3 linked regions of the Callithrix jacchus genome follow. The protein of the gene in region 1 interacts with the protein of each later gene in a biochemical or structural test. Links are inferred from orthologs where the notes say so. Each region holds a gene or a part of one and is shown on either strand. Other genes may lie near its edges.

The links. The genes of interacting proteins can lie anywhere in the genome.
Region 2: the proteins of EPS15 (region 1) and SGIP1 form a complex in vitro, tested with the Homo sapiens proteins (2 studies listed by BioGRID, with this or other methods). The link is inferred for Callithrix jacchus from reciprocal best matches to the Homo sapiens genes EPS15 and SGIP1.
Region 3: the proteins of EPS15 (region 1) and FCHO1 form a complex in vitro, tested with the Homo sapiens proteins (2 studies listed by BioGRID). The link is inferred for Callithrix jacchus from reciprocal best matches to the Homo sapiens genes EPS15 and FCHO1.

Annotation. Positions count from the first base shown.
Region 1 is NC_133508.1:88,292,527-88,298,113, reverse strand, and holds part of EPS15 (epidermal growth factor receptor substrate 15), read left to right. Parts: intron 1-2,665; coding exon 2,666-2,869; intron 2,870-5,331; exon of another isoform or gene 5,332-5,587. UniProt on the Homo sapiens protein: Involved in cell growth regulation. May be involved in the regulation of mitogenic signals and control of cell proliferation. Involved in the internalization of ligand-inducible receptors of the receptor tyrosine kinase (RTK) type, in particular EGFR.
Region 2 is NC_133508.1:103,972,632-103,978,218, forward strand, and holds part of SGIP1 (SH3-containing GRB2-like protein 3-interacting protein 1), read left to right. Parts: intron 1-3,851; coding exon 3,852-4,054; intron 4,055-5,059; coding exon 5,060-5,124; intron 5,125-5,587.
Region 3 is NC_133523.1:16,511,452-16,517,038, reverse strand, and holds part of FCHO1 (F-BAR domain only protein 1), read right to left. Parts: intron 4,636-5,587; coding exon 4,388-4,635; intron 4,283-4,387; coding exon 4,195-4,282; intron 4,019-4,194; coding exon 3,910-4,018; intron 2,759-3,909; coding exon 2,603-2,758; intron 2,000-2,602; coding exon 1,867-1,999; intron 1,402-1,866; coding exon 1,202-1,401; intron 1-1,201. UniProt on the Homo sapiens protein: Functions in an early step of clathrin-mediated endocytosis. Has both a membrane binding/bending activity and the ability to recruit proteins essential to the formation of functional clathrin-coated pits.

The sequences.
Region 1 (5,587 bases):
TCTAAGTCTCCTATCTGGGTGTTAGGATCGTTAGCTCTTGTTGTTGCATTGATCCTTTTACCACTATATCTTTGTTACTTTAAAATCTATTTTATCCGATACAAGAATTGCAACTCCTGCTTTTTATTTATTTATTATTTATTTTTGCTCTCCATTTGGTTGGTAAATCTTTCTCCATCCCTTTGTTTTGAGTCTTTGTGTATCCTTGCATGTGAAACAGGTCTGGATGTAACATGCCATTGGGTTTTGGCTGTGTCTTTTGATTGGGAATTCAGTCAATTTAAATTTAGGGTTACTGCCATTTGATGTTGACTGGCTGTTTTATCCATTTGTTGGTGTAAATTCTTCTTTATGTTGGTGCTCTTTACTTTTTGGTGTATTTTTAGAAAGGCTAATACTGGTTGTTTCTTTCTGTGTGTAATGCTTCTTTCAGAAGCTCTTGTAAAGCAGGCCTGGTGGTAATAAAATCTCTGAGTTCTTGCTTGTTCATAAAAGATTTTATTTTTCCTTCAGTTGTGAAGCTTAGTTTGGCTGGATGTGAAATTCTGGGCTGAAGGTTCTGTTCTTTGAGGATGTTGAATATTGGCCCCCACTCTCTTCTGGCCTGTAGAGTTTCTGCCGAGAGATCTGCTGTAAGTCTGATTGGCTTGCCTTTGTGGGTAATCTGACCTTTCTCTCTGGCTGCCCTTAGTATCCTCTCCTTCGTTTCAACCCTGGTGAATCTAACGATTATGTGCCTTGGGGTTGCTCTTCTTGAGGAATATCTTTGTGGTGTTCTCTGTATTACCTGGGGTTGAATGTTGACCTGCTTTGCTAGTTTAGGAAAATTTTCCTGAATAATATCCTGAAGGGTATTTTCCAGCTTGGATTCATTCTCTCCGTCGCATTCAGGTACACCTATCAAACGTAAATTTGGTCTTTTCACATAGTCCCACATTTCTTGGAGACTTTGCTCATTCCTTTTTATCCTTTTTTCTCTAATCTTTTCTTCACGTTTTATTTCATTAAGTTGGACTTTGACCTCTGATATCCCTTCTTCTGCTTGAACAATTCGAGTGTTTAAACCTGTGCATACTTCTCGGAGTTCCTGTATTGTATTCTTCAGTTCCATTAATTCACTCATACTCCTCTCTAAGTTGTCTATTCTCAATAGGATTTCATCAAACCTTTTTTCAAAGTTCCTAGTTTCTTTACGTTGGGCTACAACATGTTCTTTTAACTCACCGAAGTTTGTTATTATCCATTCCTTGAAGAGTGATTCTGTCATCAGGAGGCGCTCGTTCTCCATCAAGCCTTGTTCCATTGTTGATGTGGAACTGTGATCATCTTTAGAGGGAGAGGCGTTCTGACTTTGAGTATTCTCAGCTTTTTTACGCTGGTTTCTTCCCGTCATTGTAAATTTATCCTCCTGTCGTCTTTGAAATTACCAATTTTCAGATTAGGTCTCTTGAGTGGACGTCCAGGTTGTTAGTTCCCAGGGCCAGAGCAGCGGCGTTAAAACTGATGGTGCTTTTCTGCCCAGGATTCTCCTGTCGGGCTTCCTTTTTGTTTCCGTAGTAGGCGACTCTGCCTTCCCGGGGCTCCAAACCTCGGTCAGAAGGGGAACCGGTCCCGTTTACTCTGTGCCGAGCGCTGCTGCGTCCAGGTGCCGGCGGAACCGCTGCGCCTACCACGAGAGTCGCGCTAGCGACTCGTGTGTTTCCACCACTGGGGGATCTTCTGCTCCGTGAGCGACCAGACTTTGTCTTAAAGTGTGGCGTCCTCTAGTTCTCCGCGCCTTCCCTGAGAGCTGCAATCCCGGGATGTTAGCGATCGGCCATCTTGGATCGTTCCCTCTAACTTCTTATTCTTTATGGTATTTTCTTCGTCCTGCCTTTGTTGGGCTTTATATTTCTGTTATAGCAATAATAAGGTTTTTCCCTGCATATTTGCTTATATGTCTATCTACCCTAGCAGACTGACATTTTTGGTCCAGAAACTTACACATTTTTAAAAATTCCTATCATTTTAGCACAGTTCTTGTCCCAGTGTAGGTACTTACTTTATTAACAGGTAACCTGAAAGAGTTATTGTAGTGAGAATGCTACCAGATGAATGGGTATTCTTTAAACTATTTTCTTTTTCTTAATTTCTTTAAAAAAAAAATCCAAGTATACTAGAATCTCAAGAGAGGAATGCTTATTGTTAGAAATTATTGAGTCTTTCCTCTAAGTCATGTAGCATTCCCAGAGGATTCTTCTTAAAGGAAGCAAGTGTATCATTGACCAAGTCTACAGGTATAGCCATTTTTATTTTATTTTTTTGAGACAGGGTCTCATTCTGTCAGTCAGGAGTGCAGTGGTGTGATCATGGCTCACTGCAGCCTTGACCTCTGAGCTCAAGTGATCTTCCCACCTCAGCCTCCTGAGTAGCTGGGACTATAGGTGCACTCCACCATGCCCAGCTGATTTTTATATTTATTGTAGAAATGAGGTTTCACCTTGTTGCTCAGGCTGGTCTTGAACAACTGGGCTGAAGCAGTCCTCCTGCCTCAGCTTCCCAAAATATTGGGATTTCAGGCTTTAGCTACCACACCTACCCCATCAGGAAGTGGAGGAGGGCATTTTTGTGTTACATGTCTTTCTAGTAATAAATTCTATTCTGTATTTTTGCTTTGTGTTGGCAGATACAAATGAAACTGATGGAAATTAAAGATTTAGAAAATCATAATAATCAGTTAAATTGGTGCAGTAGCCCACACAGCATTCTTGTAAATGGAGCTACAGATTATTGCAGCCTCAGCACCAGCAGCAGTGAAACAGCCAACCTTAATGAACATGCTGAAGGCCAGAGCAACCTAGAGTCTGAGCCCATACACCAGGAATCTCCAGTAAGTCTAATACTTTCATAATGAATCTCCTTGGGCAGATCAAAATTTCATTGGCATTTTATCTAGTATAATATGTGACTATGCCTCATCTGAGGACACTTGAGATTTCTTCATAAGAGGCAGAGAAAGGGTTCTAATTCAACTATTATACATTTTAATTAGTATGAAAATTGGTTGTTGTTTTTTTTTGTGATGGAGTTTTGCTCTTGTTGCCCAGGCTGGAGTGCAGTGGTGCTACCTCGGCCCACTGCAACCTCCACCTCCCAGGTTCAAGTGATTATCCTGCCTCAGCCTCCTGAGTAGCTGGGATTATAGGCATGCACCACCATGCCCAGCTGATCTTTTGTATTTTTAGTAGAAACTGGGTTTCATCATGTTGGCCAGGCTGGTCTCAAACTCCTGACCTCAGATAACCCACCTGCTTCGACCTTCCAAAGTGCAGGGATTATGAGCATGAGCCACTGTGCCCAGCCAGCTGATTTATTTTTTATAGAGCCTGTTTTTAAAATAGTATTTCTGTAGAGTAAAACTTTTTTTTAAGTACCCTTACCCAAAACTAAAATAATTTTTTATTATGTAGCGTTGAGGACATTCATTTACCAATTTTTTGCAGAGTACCAACTATGTGCAAGAGTGCTGTATTATATAATACAAGAGCAACATAGACAAGAGACTTTAATCTTTCCTTCAAGCAGCAAACGGTGTAGTAGTGTAATGCTGTGTTAAAGGGCTGTGCTAAAGGAAGTACAGAATTTTTAGGTAGGACAGTTTGAGGGGGCTCATACAGATTTTGTTGGGGGCTCATACAGATTTTGTTGGGGGAAAGCTTTGCAAGTGAGGTTTGACAAGTGAGAATGGGTTAAGCAAAGAAGAGGTACACTCCTGCCAGAGAAAACAGTATTAGTATAGTTACAAGGTAGACGAATACATGCAGCACAGAATCTTGAGAAGTTCTGAAGGATATCTTGTGATTGTGGAGAGGGTATTGGTAAGAGATGAGGTGTTCCTAGTGGATATCTGCATTACCTCTGTTGCTTATCAAAGTATAGATGTGTATCCCTTTTCCAAACTTGTTGAACTAGTTTCTGGGATAGAGCTAAATATGTATATTTTAAAAACACATCCTGCTGGGCCTAGTGGCTCATGCCTGTAATCCCAGCACTTTGGGAGGCCGAGGTAGGTGGATGACAAGGTCAGGAGTTTGAGATCAGTCTGGCCAACATGGTGAAACCCTGTCTCTACTAAACATACAAAAAAATTAGCCAGGTGTGGTGGTGGGCCCCTGTAATCCCAGCTACTTGGGAGGCTGAGGCAAGGAGAATTGCTTAACCTGTGAGGCGGAGGTTGCAGTGAGCCAGGATTGCACCACTACATTCCAACCTAGGTGACAGTGCACGACTCCATCTCAAAAAAAAAAAAAAAAAAAGTAAGACACCCTATGGGTGATTGTCACGTGTACCTGGATAAAAATGACTTTTAGGTCAGAAAGTGCCAGAAGGTGAGAAATTTGGATTCATCTTAAAGCATTGGGGGATTTATCCTACTGCACTGAATAGCCATTGAAGAATTTTAAGCAAGAAGTGATGTGATTAAACTATTAGAAATGTGGAAAATGGATTAGAGAGTGAGACTGTATCCATAGAGGTATGTTGGAATAGTCTGTGTGAGAGTTGTTTTAGCCTAAACTTAAGCAGTAACAGGAGGGATAATGAGAAGAAGTCTGAGAGATATTAAAAGTGAAAAGTTAACAGACTTGATCTTATTTAGACAGTGCAGTCATGTATTATACAATATTCTTTCAGCCACGAAAGGCAGATTACTTGGTTATCCTTGAAACAAATAAGGGCTGTATGAAATAGATATTGCCCCTACTACTTCTTAAGTCTCTCACCCACTGTTCTAAATGAAGAAGACAATGGGAAGCCACTGAAGGACTTTTAACCAGAAGGGTCACAATCACATCCACGTTTTAGAGCTATTGGTTTGGCTATAATAATAAGAAGAGATTGGAAGGGCACATATTGGAGGCAGGAAGGCAGTTGGAAGGAAGACTGCTCTATTAATTGGAACCAAAGATGATGATACTGTCAGTGATTGATAGTGTCAGTGAGGATGGAGAAGAGGCAAGGATTTGAAAAAGAAGTAGGAGGTAGACTGAGCAAGACTTGGAGTCTTATTCTAACTGGGGGTTAAAGATGACCTGAAGGTTTCTGACATGAGTGACTTTGATGCTTGATGACACCATTTCCCTAAAAAAGATTATAGACCACGGAAAATGGTGCCTCGCAGGTTGGGTAATCTTACAATCCTGGTGCTCTGGGCTGCTGCCCTGTTCCTTGCTCTGGGCATGGAAAGGGCTCTGGTGCTACCCGAGGTACAGAAGCAAGATTGAGGTCAAGCTGAAGCAGGGTTGATGGCCAGCCACGCGTCGTGCTTGCCTATGGTTCCCCCTTCCCCTCTGCTGACCTGCAGCTCTGATTTCGTCCCTGACGCTTTCCGACCCTGCCTAGCCAGATATGCACCCAGTGTGCCAGGAGTGTGCAAAATTTGTCCAAAGTGGCCCTTTGTTGTAAAACGACACGAGAGCTAATGCTGCATGCACATTGCTACCTGAATCAGAAGGAGACCATCTTGGGGCTAGATCTCCAGAACTGTTCTCTAGAGGACCCTGGTCCAAACTTTCATCAGGCACGTACCACTGTCATCATAGACCTGCAA
Region 2 (5,587 bases), about 16 Mb from region 1:
CCCACCAACTGCCTAGATTTTGTTACATTTTTTTTAATTGACAGGTACAATTGTATGTCTGTATTAGGTACAACATGATATTTTGAATATACATATGTTGTAGAACGACTAAATTCAACTAATTAACATATGCATTACCTCACATAGTTATTTTTGTAATGAGAACACTTTACATTCACTCTCTTTAGCGATTTTTAAGAAAACAGTATATGATTATTAACTGTAGTCAGCATATTACACAATCCATCTCTAGAATTTGTTCCTCCCATCTAACTGAAATTTTGTGTCCTTTGACCAACATCTCCCCAAACAAATCCCCACGCCCACCACTGCCACCACCTCAGCCTCTGGCAACTGCCATTCTACTCTCTAATGCTATAAGATCAACTTTTATTTTTATTTTGTTTTATTTAGTTAGTTATCTGAGACAAAGTCTCACTCTGTTGCCCAAGCTGGAGTGCAGTGGCACAATCTTGCCTTATAGCAACCTCCACCTCCCAGGTTCAAACAATTCTCCTGCCTCAGCCTCCCATTTAGCTGGGATTACAGGCATGCATCACCATGCCTGGCTAATTTTTGTATTTACAGTAGAGATGGGGTTTCGCCATGTTGGCCAGGCTGGTCTCAAACTCCTGGCCTCAGGTGATCCACCCACCTCGGCCTCCCAAAGCGCCACTGTGCCCAGCCAAGATCAATTTTTAAATATTTCACATAAGAGTGAGAGCGTGTGGTATTGGTCTTTCTGTGCCTGGATTATTTCATTTACCTTATTTTTAATGCATTATAATTTTTTATTAAATATGTTCAGATTATTTTTCTTAAAATAAAGAAACTAATACTTTAATAAAAATTAGGGTATCTCAAACTTGGCTGTATTTCTCAATCACCAAGGAATTAAATGCTTGTAATTAAATGCTGGTTCTGAATTGATGCTAAAAAGAAATATATATATGTATATATATATATAGTTAAATATAATATTGATAACATAGATTATATGATTACATTATATAATTATATATAGTATATTATATAATTACATTAGGTGTTATATTGTATGTTATATATAAATATTATATAATATATAATATATCATGTGTTATAAATAAATATATAATGTATATATTATTAAAATAAATATTTATTTAGATTATTTAAAGATAATATGTTATTTATATATATATTTATATATTTATATATGTGTGGTGTTAGGGCCTAGCAGATATATATATATATTAAATATACATATATTTTATTTTATTGGCTTAGAATGCAACCCAGGTATTTGTACTTTATACAAGTTCCTCAAGAGATTTTATGTATCCTATGCTTTGAAATACATTTATTTAAAATGTTGTAAGGAAACCATTTAAAGTAAAATATCTACATAATGGTACATTTTTCAAAAATGCAAAAGAATATAATTTTTTCTTCTGAGAATAGTATCTACTCTTTGAACGTTATGGATAACACTAATATATAATATGGCATAAATTCACTTATAAATTAAAATATAATAGAAAATACATTATATTTAGTTTTTTTCCAAAATATTTAAATATGCTTAGTGAGAAATGAAAGGAAATAAGAGAGGAAAATTCTAAATGGGATTTTTTTCTCTGAATGCGAAGTTAAATTCCAAGGCAGAAGGCAAATTTCATGCATGGTTTGTATCCCCAAAGTGTGGAAATAGGATGGCAGTTCTTCACCTTCGTGGACTCTAATTATATACACTGCATGTACATTTTCACTTCAGATAAAATGTTTGTTTGAAATTTTAAAACCCTGTGGAGTTGTTTTTATTTCTGTGTTTGTTATTAAGTAAATCTAGAAAGTAGATAGAATTCACCTATTGCAGTATGCACTTTGTGTAAAGTGTTAAAATGTAGGCAAGGTCCAGGTGTAGTACTAAAATGTAGGCAAGGTCTGGAATTACACCTGTAATCCTAGCACTGTGGGAGGCTGAGGCAGGAGGATCACTTGAGTCCAGGAGTTTGAGACCAGCTTTGGCAACATAGGGAGACCCCATCTCTATTTTTCTTAATAAATAAATAAAGTGTAAGCAAGATACTGAATTCTAAAATTAAGTCAGCTTTCTACTGGCCACTGACCTTGATTGCTTTATATCCCAGAACCTCAGTTTCCTCATCTAAGGGTAATAATGATATCTACCTATTTTATAGGTTGCTATAAGAAGCTAATAGCTTCAAAGTACTTTATGAAACGTAAACAGCCCTAGACTGGCTGTTTTATTTTAACATGTGCTCTGAAGAATTCATTTGCTGTTGCTTACCTGTCTTTTTGTTGTTGTTTTCAACAATGCAAGGAATTGGGTGGAGAAGCACAACCAGCATTTTGTGGAATTGCCCTTAAATTGCAGCGTGTTTAGTTTCTGGCCCCATAGCATGCCCCCAGAAATTGGAACAATCAAAAACACATTTTCATATACCCAAAAAGCACCTCCCCAGGTAGAGGAAGTATAATCAGGTTGAGAACTACCACTGAGGACAGAGTCCAGAAAATGGGGTGTGGGAGGGAGATTGCTCTGCTTTTGATCCGCTGTAGTTAATTGATTTTTAAATAAATGTTTGTCTGCAGAAAGTATTATGCTGCCAATAATATTTAAAGTTTAAAAACTATAATGGTTAACTAGTTTAAACTGTCATCAAAAGCCATATCTTTCATTTTATAAAAGAATCCATTTTGGGTCTTGTTTCTGCCACGACCACTCCTGCCTTGAAAGTTCAACCTGCCTTCAGGACCCTTCTCCATGGCGACCATATGCACAAGCATTTCCTAGACAGCCGTTTAAATCCTTCAAAATCAGCAAAGCTCATCATACTCCATGAATAAAAATCCCAGGGCATAGATACCACTCATCTGATCCCTGCAGAGATCCCTGCAAGAGAGGTGACTCTTGGAGACTTATTTGCCGCCATAATGAACAATCGAGAAATTGTAACACTGTAAATTTTTCACGGTGGACCCAGAATTCACAACAATATTATTGCCTTTAGATGAATGTTTGTTTTTTTCTTCAAACCCGGTGGGGTTTTTTTTTTTTTTTAATAAGACAAGCTCACAGATTATTCTAATTAGTATTGACAGTAGATTCTTGCATTGTAGCACTTTCAGCTAGAGGAATCCCAAAGGAAGTAAAGGAAGTAAATGCCTTTGGGATTTGCCACAGTAAGGACTTGAAACCAGGTGTAAAATTCCAAGGGAGTAATAATAACCTACCCTAGTCTAGCTCATTGGTTTGTTGTTGAAGAGCAAATATGGTAAGAATATTAAAAGTAACACTTACCAAAATGTAATTCCTTAGTGTGTGCCGGGCATCCTGCTGAGTGTTTCACAAAAAAACATCTCCTTCAATCTTCCTGACAACCCCGTGGGTAAATATTATTGTTCTAATTCCCATTTAGCAAATGAGGAAAGAACAGAAGCTCAGAGAGGTTTAGGAACTTGTCCAAGATCACTTAGCTTGTAAGTGGAATGGCAGAATCAGAACTCACACTCGCAACTGTCTAGCTTCTCGGCCTTAGCTCCTGGCCGGCCTGCTAGTCCACCTCCTTAACTGACATGAAGTGTATTGGAAACTCCAAAGTGCTACAGAGACTCTCATAGCTGCTTTCGTGTTTTTAGTCTGTAATGGTTTACCTGAAGCACCCAGCTCTCTCTCACAGCACCCGTCATGGTGCCTCTCACTCATGGTTGCTTGTGAGCAGCATAAAAAACATTATGACATTTTAATATCTAAGAACATTCCTGTGGGAGAAAATCATAACTTCTGGTCTTGTTTCAGATTATTGGTTGAACCTTTAATATTCTCTTTCCTGTCATTTGGCAAGGTGTCTGCCCAGGGTATTCAGTCCACGCCTCTGAACCTGGCAGTGAATTGGCGATGTGAGCTTGCAAGCACTGACCTGCGCATAGATTACAAATACAACACAGATGCAATGTCGACCGCTGTGGCCCTCAACAATGTGCAGTTCCTGGTCCCCATCGACGGAGGTGTAACCAAGCTCCAGGCAGTGCTCCCACCAGCAGTCTGGTATGAAGCCTTCTATTCTCTCAACTGGGGGGGCTCCTCTGGGTCGACGGATCATGTTTCTTAGCTCTTGTGTTTCCTGTAGGAGGGGTGACAGCAGTCCTGTGTATTGGAGTTCAGGGCAGAAAGTAGAAACCGCTGGTATCTATTTGAAGCAAAAACTAATTCAACAGGGACTTCAATGCTTACATAATGGTGGAAGTGCGAAAGGAATAGGCTGGATCTCTAAACATACCTTCCAGACCTCTGCCAAACTGGCCTGCCACAATCCGGGGACAGAGAGAAATTAGAAGGCTTCCTTTAGAACCACTGAATTCAAGAAGCCAGAGCTGTAACTCTGATCCTAGGACCAGCAAGAACCTATTGGCACCTCCTTAAGTGCTTCTCGGCACCCCCAAACCAGAGGCTAGAGTGGAATCTAGGACCTAATTTGTACCTAGGACCCTAACTGCAAAGGCCTCTGAGAAATGTAGTGTTTCATTTTCTAGCCTCTGAACCATAAAAGCACACTAGAGAAGGCAAGGTTCTAGAAACTGAACAGATTCATTGTGCCTATATCATCTGTTATAAAGGACTTGTTCTAGAAAGAGCATTTCATTTTTTCCATATGACTGTCAGAAGCAAAAAGTAGAATTCGTTTTAAAGATGAATGTCAGCTAGATCATGACCCCAATTTTAATTACCTTAATTAGTTGATTAACTAATACTCTCATTTATCTTCCCATGGATCTGTTTTAGCAGATTATATGAAAAAACTCATTTAACTCTACTTTGTCCTCTAAATATATGTCTCATGGTGTTCTAGCTATTTACAGTAAGGTCAGGGAAAAGAGAGATTTATGTATGTCTGGGAGGGGAGAGAGAGAGAGAGAGAGAGAGAATTTTTAAATTGTAGTTAAACTTTTCAAGATCTAGTTTTTAAAATTAATACTATCCAGAAAAAAAACATGGCATCGGTAAACAAAAACCCTTGCATATGCAAAAACTTTTTACCTAATTTATTTTTAGGAATGCTGAACAACAAAGAATATTGTGGAAGATTCCTGATATCTCTCAGAAGTCAGAAAATGGAGGTAATGAAATCACAAGCTTATTTTATTTAACATGTAAAACTAAAATAGCTTTTAGGTATTTGCCAACTATTACCCAAAACATGTAGCAATAAAAACAAACAGAATATTTCACTCCATTTTTGCATTTTCTTATTTCGATTAATAAAAGCAAAAAATTCTTCAGTGAATTCTCTTTTTCGTTTTCTATAGACTCCATATCAAACAAACTATTGTTCAGGCCTCTTAAGGAGTCATGTTTCCATCTTGTGTCAGATTCCACACTCCCGGATTAGATATTTTTCACTCTCCTCAGATATTAATTATAGGTTGGAAATTACAAGGGCCCCAAGTAGCACATCTTCAAATTTTGAGGTACCATCTAAAGGAAGTAGACTGTTACCAGTGTGCAAATCGAATTGCTCATAATATTCAGTGATAAATTTCATTTAATCACCGTTTTGTCAATAAAGTCTGATTTTGTAGT
Region 3 (5,587 bases), on another chromosome or scaffold:
GGTTACAGGCATGTGCCACCATGCCTGGCTAATTTTTTGTATTTTTAGTAGAAATGGGGTTTTGCCGTATTAACCAGGCTGGTCTCGAACTCCGGACCTCAGGTAATCCGCCCGCCTCGGCCTTCCAAAGTTCTGGGATTGCTGGTGAGAGCCTAATCTTTGTTTTTTAAGAGAGGGTTCTGGCCAGGCACAGTGGCTCACACCTGTAATCCCAGCACTTTGGGAGGCCTAGGTGGGCGGATCACCTGAAGTCAGGAATTCAAGACCAGCCCGACCAACATGGAGAAACCCCATCTCTACTAAAAGTACAAAATTAGCTGGGCGTGGTGGCACATGCCTATAATCCCAGCTACCTGGGAGACTGAGGCAGGAGAATCACTTGAACCTGGGAGGCGGAGGTCGCGGTGAGCTGAGATGGTGCCATTGCACTCCAGCCTGGGCAACAAGAGCGAAACTCTGTCTCAAAAAAAAAAAAAAAAAAAGAGACGGTTGTCACCCAGGCTAAGTCCCTGCAGCCTCAACTCCTGGGCTCAAGCGATCCTTCTGCCTCAGCCTCCCAAGTCGCTGAGACTACAGGAGCACACCACCAAGCCTGACTACTTTTTAAAATATTTTTTGGAAGGCGGGTGCAGTGGCTCATGCCTGTAATCCCAGTACTTTGGATTTGGGAGGCTGAGGTGGGTGGATCACCTGAGGTTAGGGGTTCGAGATCAGACTGGGCAACATAGTGAAATGCTGTCTCTACTAAAAAAATACAAAAATTAGCTGGGTGAGGTGGCAGGCACCTGTAATCCCAGCTACTCGGGAGGTGAGTCACTTGAACCTGGGAGGCGGAGGTCGCAGTGAGCTGAGATCCCGCCATTGCGCTCCAGCCTGGGTGACAGAGCAAGACTCCATCTCAAAATAAATAAATTAATAAAACGAAAATGTTTTCTGTAGAGATGAGGTCTCACTATATTGTCCAGGCTGGTCTCAAACTCCTGGCCTTAAGTGAACCTCCCATCTCAGCCTCCCAAAGCATTGCAAATACAGGCATGACCCACGGCACCTGGCCCTCATAACATCACCCTCAGTGCTAAGCAGGGTGGAATCACCAGTGAAGGGTCGGGCCCAGAGTGCACCCTTTAACCGTCATCAAGAGGAAGGTCTGGGCTTATGGGGGAAACTGCTGAGTTTTCCTTGGCCTCCCGCACGCCCTCACCAGGTGGCGGCTGGCTGCAGGCGGACGTTGGTCACAGGCTCCCCCACGGGCAGCAGGATCTGGACGTTCGTGAGTGGTGTGGGCACAGCTGTGGCACCGGGCCGGTAGCCATAGTCCACCGAGACCTGGGTGAGGGTGGCCCCACACTGCCAGTGGGCACTGAGCTGCAGAGGCACAGACTGGGGACCCGGGCGGGAGAACTACGAGGAATCAGAACAGGAGAGAGCACATGGTTTGGGCCATCTCGTCTTGCCACACACGCCCTATTCAACCACCTTGACCCCGCGATGCACGCACACCCTGCCCCAAGACAGCCCAGTCACAGGGAGATTTGACGGATGAGAGGCTGTATTACACCAGGTTTCCAGCAGGGGGCAGGAGAGCACATCGTTCTAAGAAAAGTCTCCCAAGGAAGTTCAAGGGCAAGGTTCCCTGGCTGGGCCTCTTCTAGTTCACATAATGAAGGTATCTGCCACAGGGGACACACGCCCTCCCACCCTGACTCCATCCACCGTTCGTTCCCAACCCACCCTGCCTACACACTCCAGCTCATCGGCTCTCACAGGTTGGTGTTCGAGACCAGCTTGGCCAACATGCAGGCACTTCCAAGTCGGCTGCTCACCCCACCCCACTCCACCTGCTCCCGGCCCGTGTGCGTGGCGTACCTGGTATCGCAGCAGCACCACGTTGTAGTAGGAGGCGGTGGGGTTCTGCTCTGCCTGGCGCTGCAGGGCCTCGGTCAGAGCTGCCATATTGAGCCAGAAGTCTTTGGTCTCAGGGTCACTCTGGGAGGGGTCACTGCAGAGACCGGGACTGATCACCCCAACCCTAGGAGATGCCCTCCCAGGGCTCTCAACATCAAACTACCCCAAGCACTTCCTAAAGATGCCGTTTCCTGGCCCACCAAAGCCCTACCTGGGTGGCAGTGGTGGGGGCAGTAAAAGAGGGATGGAAAACCAGGGTCAGAGAGGGCAAGTTACTTGCCCCAGGCCACACAGCAAATCCAAGGAGGCTGCTGAGCGCTGTGACTCACACCTGTAATCCCTGCACTTTGGGAGGCCCAGGCGGGCAGATCACAAGGTCGGGAGTTTGAGACAGTGTGACCAACATGGTGAAACCCTGTCTCTACTAAAAATACAAAAATTAGCTGGGTGTGGTGGCGCACGCCTGTAATCCCAGCTACTCGGGAGGCTGAGGCAGAAGAATCGCTTGAACCCAGGAGGCGGAGGTTGCAGTGAGCTGAGATCTCACCATTGCACTCCAGCTGGGGCAACAGAGCGAGACTCTGTCTCAAAAAAAAAAAAAAAAAAAAAATCCCAGGGGCAGAGAGGGAATTCAGAGCCCAGAAGCCCCTGACCCCAGTAGCCTCTGTGGCCCTCTCCCACCTCCCATCTGCTGTACCTGAAGAGCAGCTCGGCATTGGGTTGGAAGTGTTCTATAGGAGCCGTGTGTACAAGCCGGAAGCTGAGGACAGGTGGGGGCGGGGTCCCGCTGAACACACGCACGATGCCAGCAGGGAAGGTCATGGTCAGCTCCCCAGTTACTCGAGCCAGGCAGCTGGGGAGGGTAGAGGGACTGGGCGTTGGCTTAGAGCTCTGCCTGGTGTCTCATCCTCCCCTGCTCCTGGTTCCACTGCTGCCTGTGGCTCCCCAGACCCCTTGGATCTAGGATGGCCCTGAGGATGCCCCATGTCCTTTGCCCTAACTTCCTCCTCTTTTGTTCCTGCCTAGACAGGAAGAATCCACCCTGGGCTGAAGGAGGCAGGAACATCTCCTTCCCTAGCTCTTTTCTCCTAGGCCACCAGGAAGCTCAAATTAAAATGTTCAGTTTTTTAGCTGTTGTCTGCTTGGGTTTTCGATCTGACACTCACCTCTTCTTCCTGGTTTGACTTTCAGATCTTTTTTGCTGAAGGCCATCCTAGTATATATCCTTGGCCCCTCTGCTTTTCCCTAACCCACCTTCTAACCCCCGTTACTGCGACTAACTAGTCTTGGTCTCTTCATTGAAATGCACATGGCAGCCTCGAGACTACAGTAATGCCTAGCCCTGCTCAAATGCCCTCCTATGGCCAGGTGTGGCGGCTCATGCCTGTAATCCCAGCACTTTGGAAGGCTGAGACGAGCTGATCACTTGAAGTCAGGAGTTCAAGACCAGCCTGGCCAACACGGTGAAACCCTGTCTCTACTAAAAATACAAAATTAGCTGGGCGTGGTGGTTGGTGCCTGTAATCTCAGCTCCTTGGGAGGCTGAGGCAGGAGAATCGCTTGAACCCAGGAGGCAGAGGTGGCAGTGAGCTGAGATCACGCCACTGCACTCCAGCCTGAGCGACAGAGTGAGACCCTGTCTCAAAACAAACAAAAAATTTAAAAATTGAGTCAGCTGCGTTGGTGGGCACCTGTAGTTCCAGCTACGTGGGAGGCTGAGGCAGGAGAATCACTTGAACCCGGGAGGCAGAGGTTGTGGTGAACTGAGATCATGCCACTACACTCCAGCCTGGGCGACAAGAGTGAAAGTCTATCTCAAAAAAAAAAAAAGGCCCTCCCTGGCTCCATTGCCCTTAGGACATGGACATGGGGGCCTGGTCACTTGGCTCAGTGTTTAAGGCGTTTCATCATAAGACAGGCCATGAAGCACATCTGAAAGCTGTCCCTGCTGGATGCCCCCCAACACAGACCCCCCACGGGCCCTGTCTGCCCATTACCGTGTACCTGGGGCTGTGGCCACGGAAGTAGGCGTGGACATACTCCGTGAAGGCTGTGGCTACCGGCAGGGCATCCTGGGAGCCCAGGACCACAGGGCTCGGACCCCGGGAGACTCCTGGGGGTGGCGGGGAGGGAATGGGGGACAGAAAGACGGGGTGAAGAGAGGCCTCAGGCTCGAGACCCGCCCCCACCTCCGCCCCACCACACCTGTGCCAACAGAGAAGCTACCCACCCGAACCACAGAAGGTGAGACTGAGGCCCAAGGCAGGGCCCAGGCCCACCCTCACGTACCGTGTCCTGTCTGGGATGAGAAGCAGGGCCGTTCTGGGCCAGTGCTGGGGGCCGAAGAGCCCAGTGGGGAAGGGCTCAGGGAACGAGACTGGAAGGGAAAGAGACAAGCTGGGCTGTGGGTTCCCAGGAGCGGTGCCCAAAGCTGACCCCAGAGGCGCCCCACAGCCCAGCTCCTGCCAGGCCCCTCACCTACCAGGTCCCCGTTGCTGCGTGTGAGAGGGCAGGACACCTTCCTAGAGCGAAGTCTCCTGGGTGGGGCTGCCAGGCCCTCCCTGGCTGTGGGGTCAGCAGGTGCGGGCATCAGGTCTGGGAGCGATTGCACAGAGGCACTGCTGAGATGCTGCCTGGGGCCTCTGAGGCCTTCCCAGGGGCACGAACTCAGCCAAAATCTAGGAGGTGGGCTTTTCTGTGGAGACCCCCGATGGGTCTGAAATCCTGGGGCTGCAGAAAAGGTGCCAGACAGGACTGCAGGTACCATCCATACCCCTGAACCTCCCAGACACCAGAATGGTGGCTGAATAAGGGGTGAGCTCCCCGTCACTGGGGGTATGCAAGCAAGCACTGAAGGCTTAGGAGGCAGGCATGCTGTAGGGTTCAGCAGAGGATTTTTAGCCAACATTCACCCATTCTGTGATCTCCATCCTCTCTGAGAACCTGACCACAGCCACCTACGGTGGCCTGTGTCTGAGTTCCACGAGTTTATAACACCCAAGCTCCCCTCCCTCTCCTGCTTCCTTGGGGTCCTAGTTTTCTGTTCCATCTATGAACATGCTCACTCGCTTGCCTACCTCCTCTCCCACCTACCTCCCTGCACCGCAGGCTGTGCTCCCCCCTCTACCCTACTTTCTCAGTCAGCACTGTGGACATCTGGGGGCTGAACCATTCTCGGGGGGTGGAGGCTGCCCTGTGCACTGCAGGGTGCTGAGCAGCAACCCCAGCCTCCACCCACTGAAGCCGGGAGCACACCCCTGCCTGGTGGTGACAACCAAAAATGTCTCTAGACACTGACAATGCCCCCTGGGGGCAGAATTGGCCGGGTTGGATAAGACCCTCTGCTCAGGCGGAGCATGGTGGCTCACGCCTCTAATCCCAACACTTTGGGAGGTTGAGGCAGGCAGATCACCAGTGGTCAGGAGTTCGAGACCAGCCTGGCCAACCCGGTGAAACCCTGTCTCTACTAAAAATACAAAAATTAGCGGGGCGTGGTGGCGGGCGCCTGTAATCCCAGCTACTGGGGAGGCTGAGGCAGAAAACCTCTTGAACCCGGGAAGGGGAGGTTGCAGTGAGCTGAGATCGCACCACTGCACTCCAGCCTCGGCGACAAGAGCAAAACTCCGATTTAAAAAGAAAAAAAAAAAAAAAAGCTGCTTCTGCTGTCACTCTGTGGCCTCCG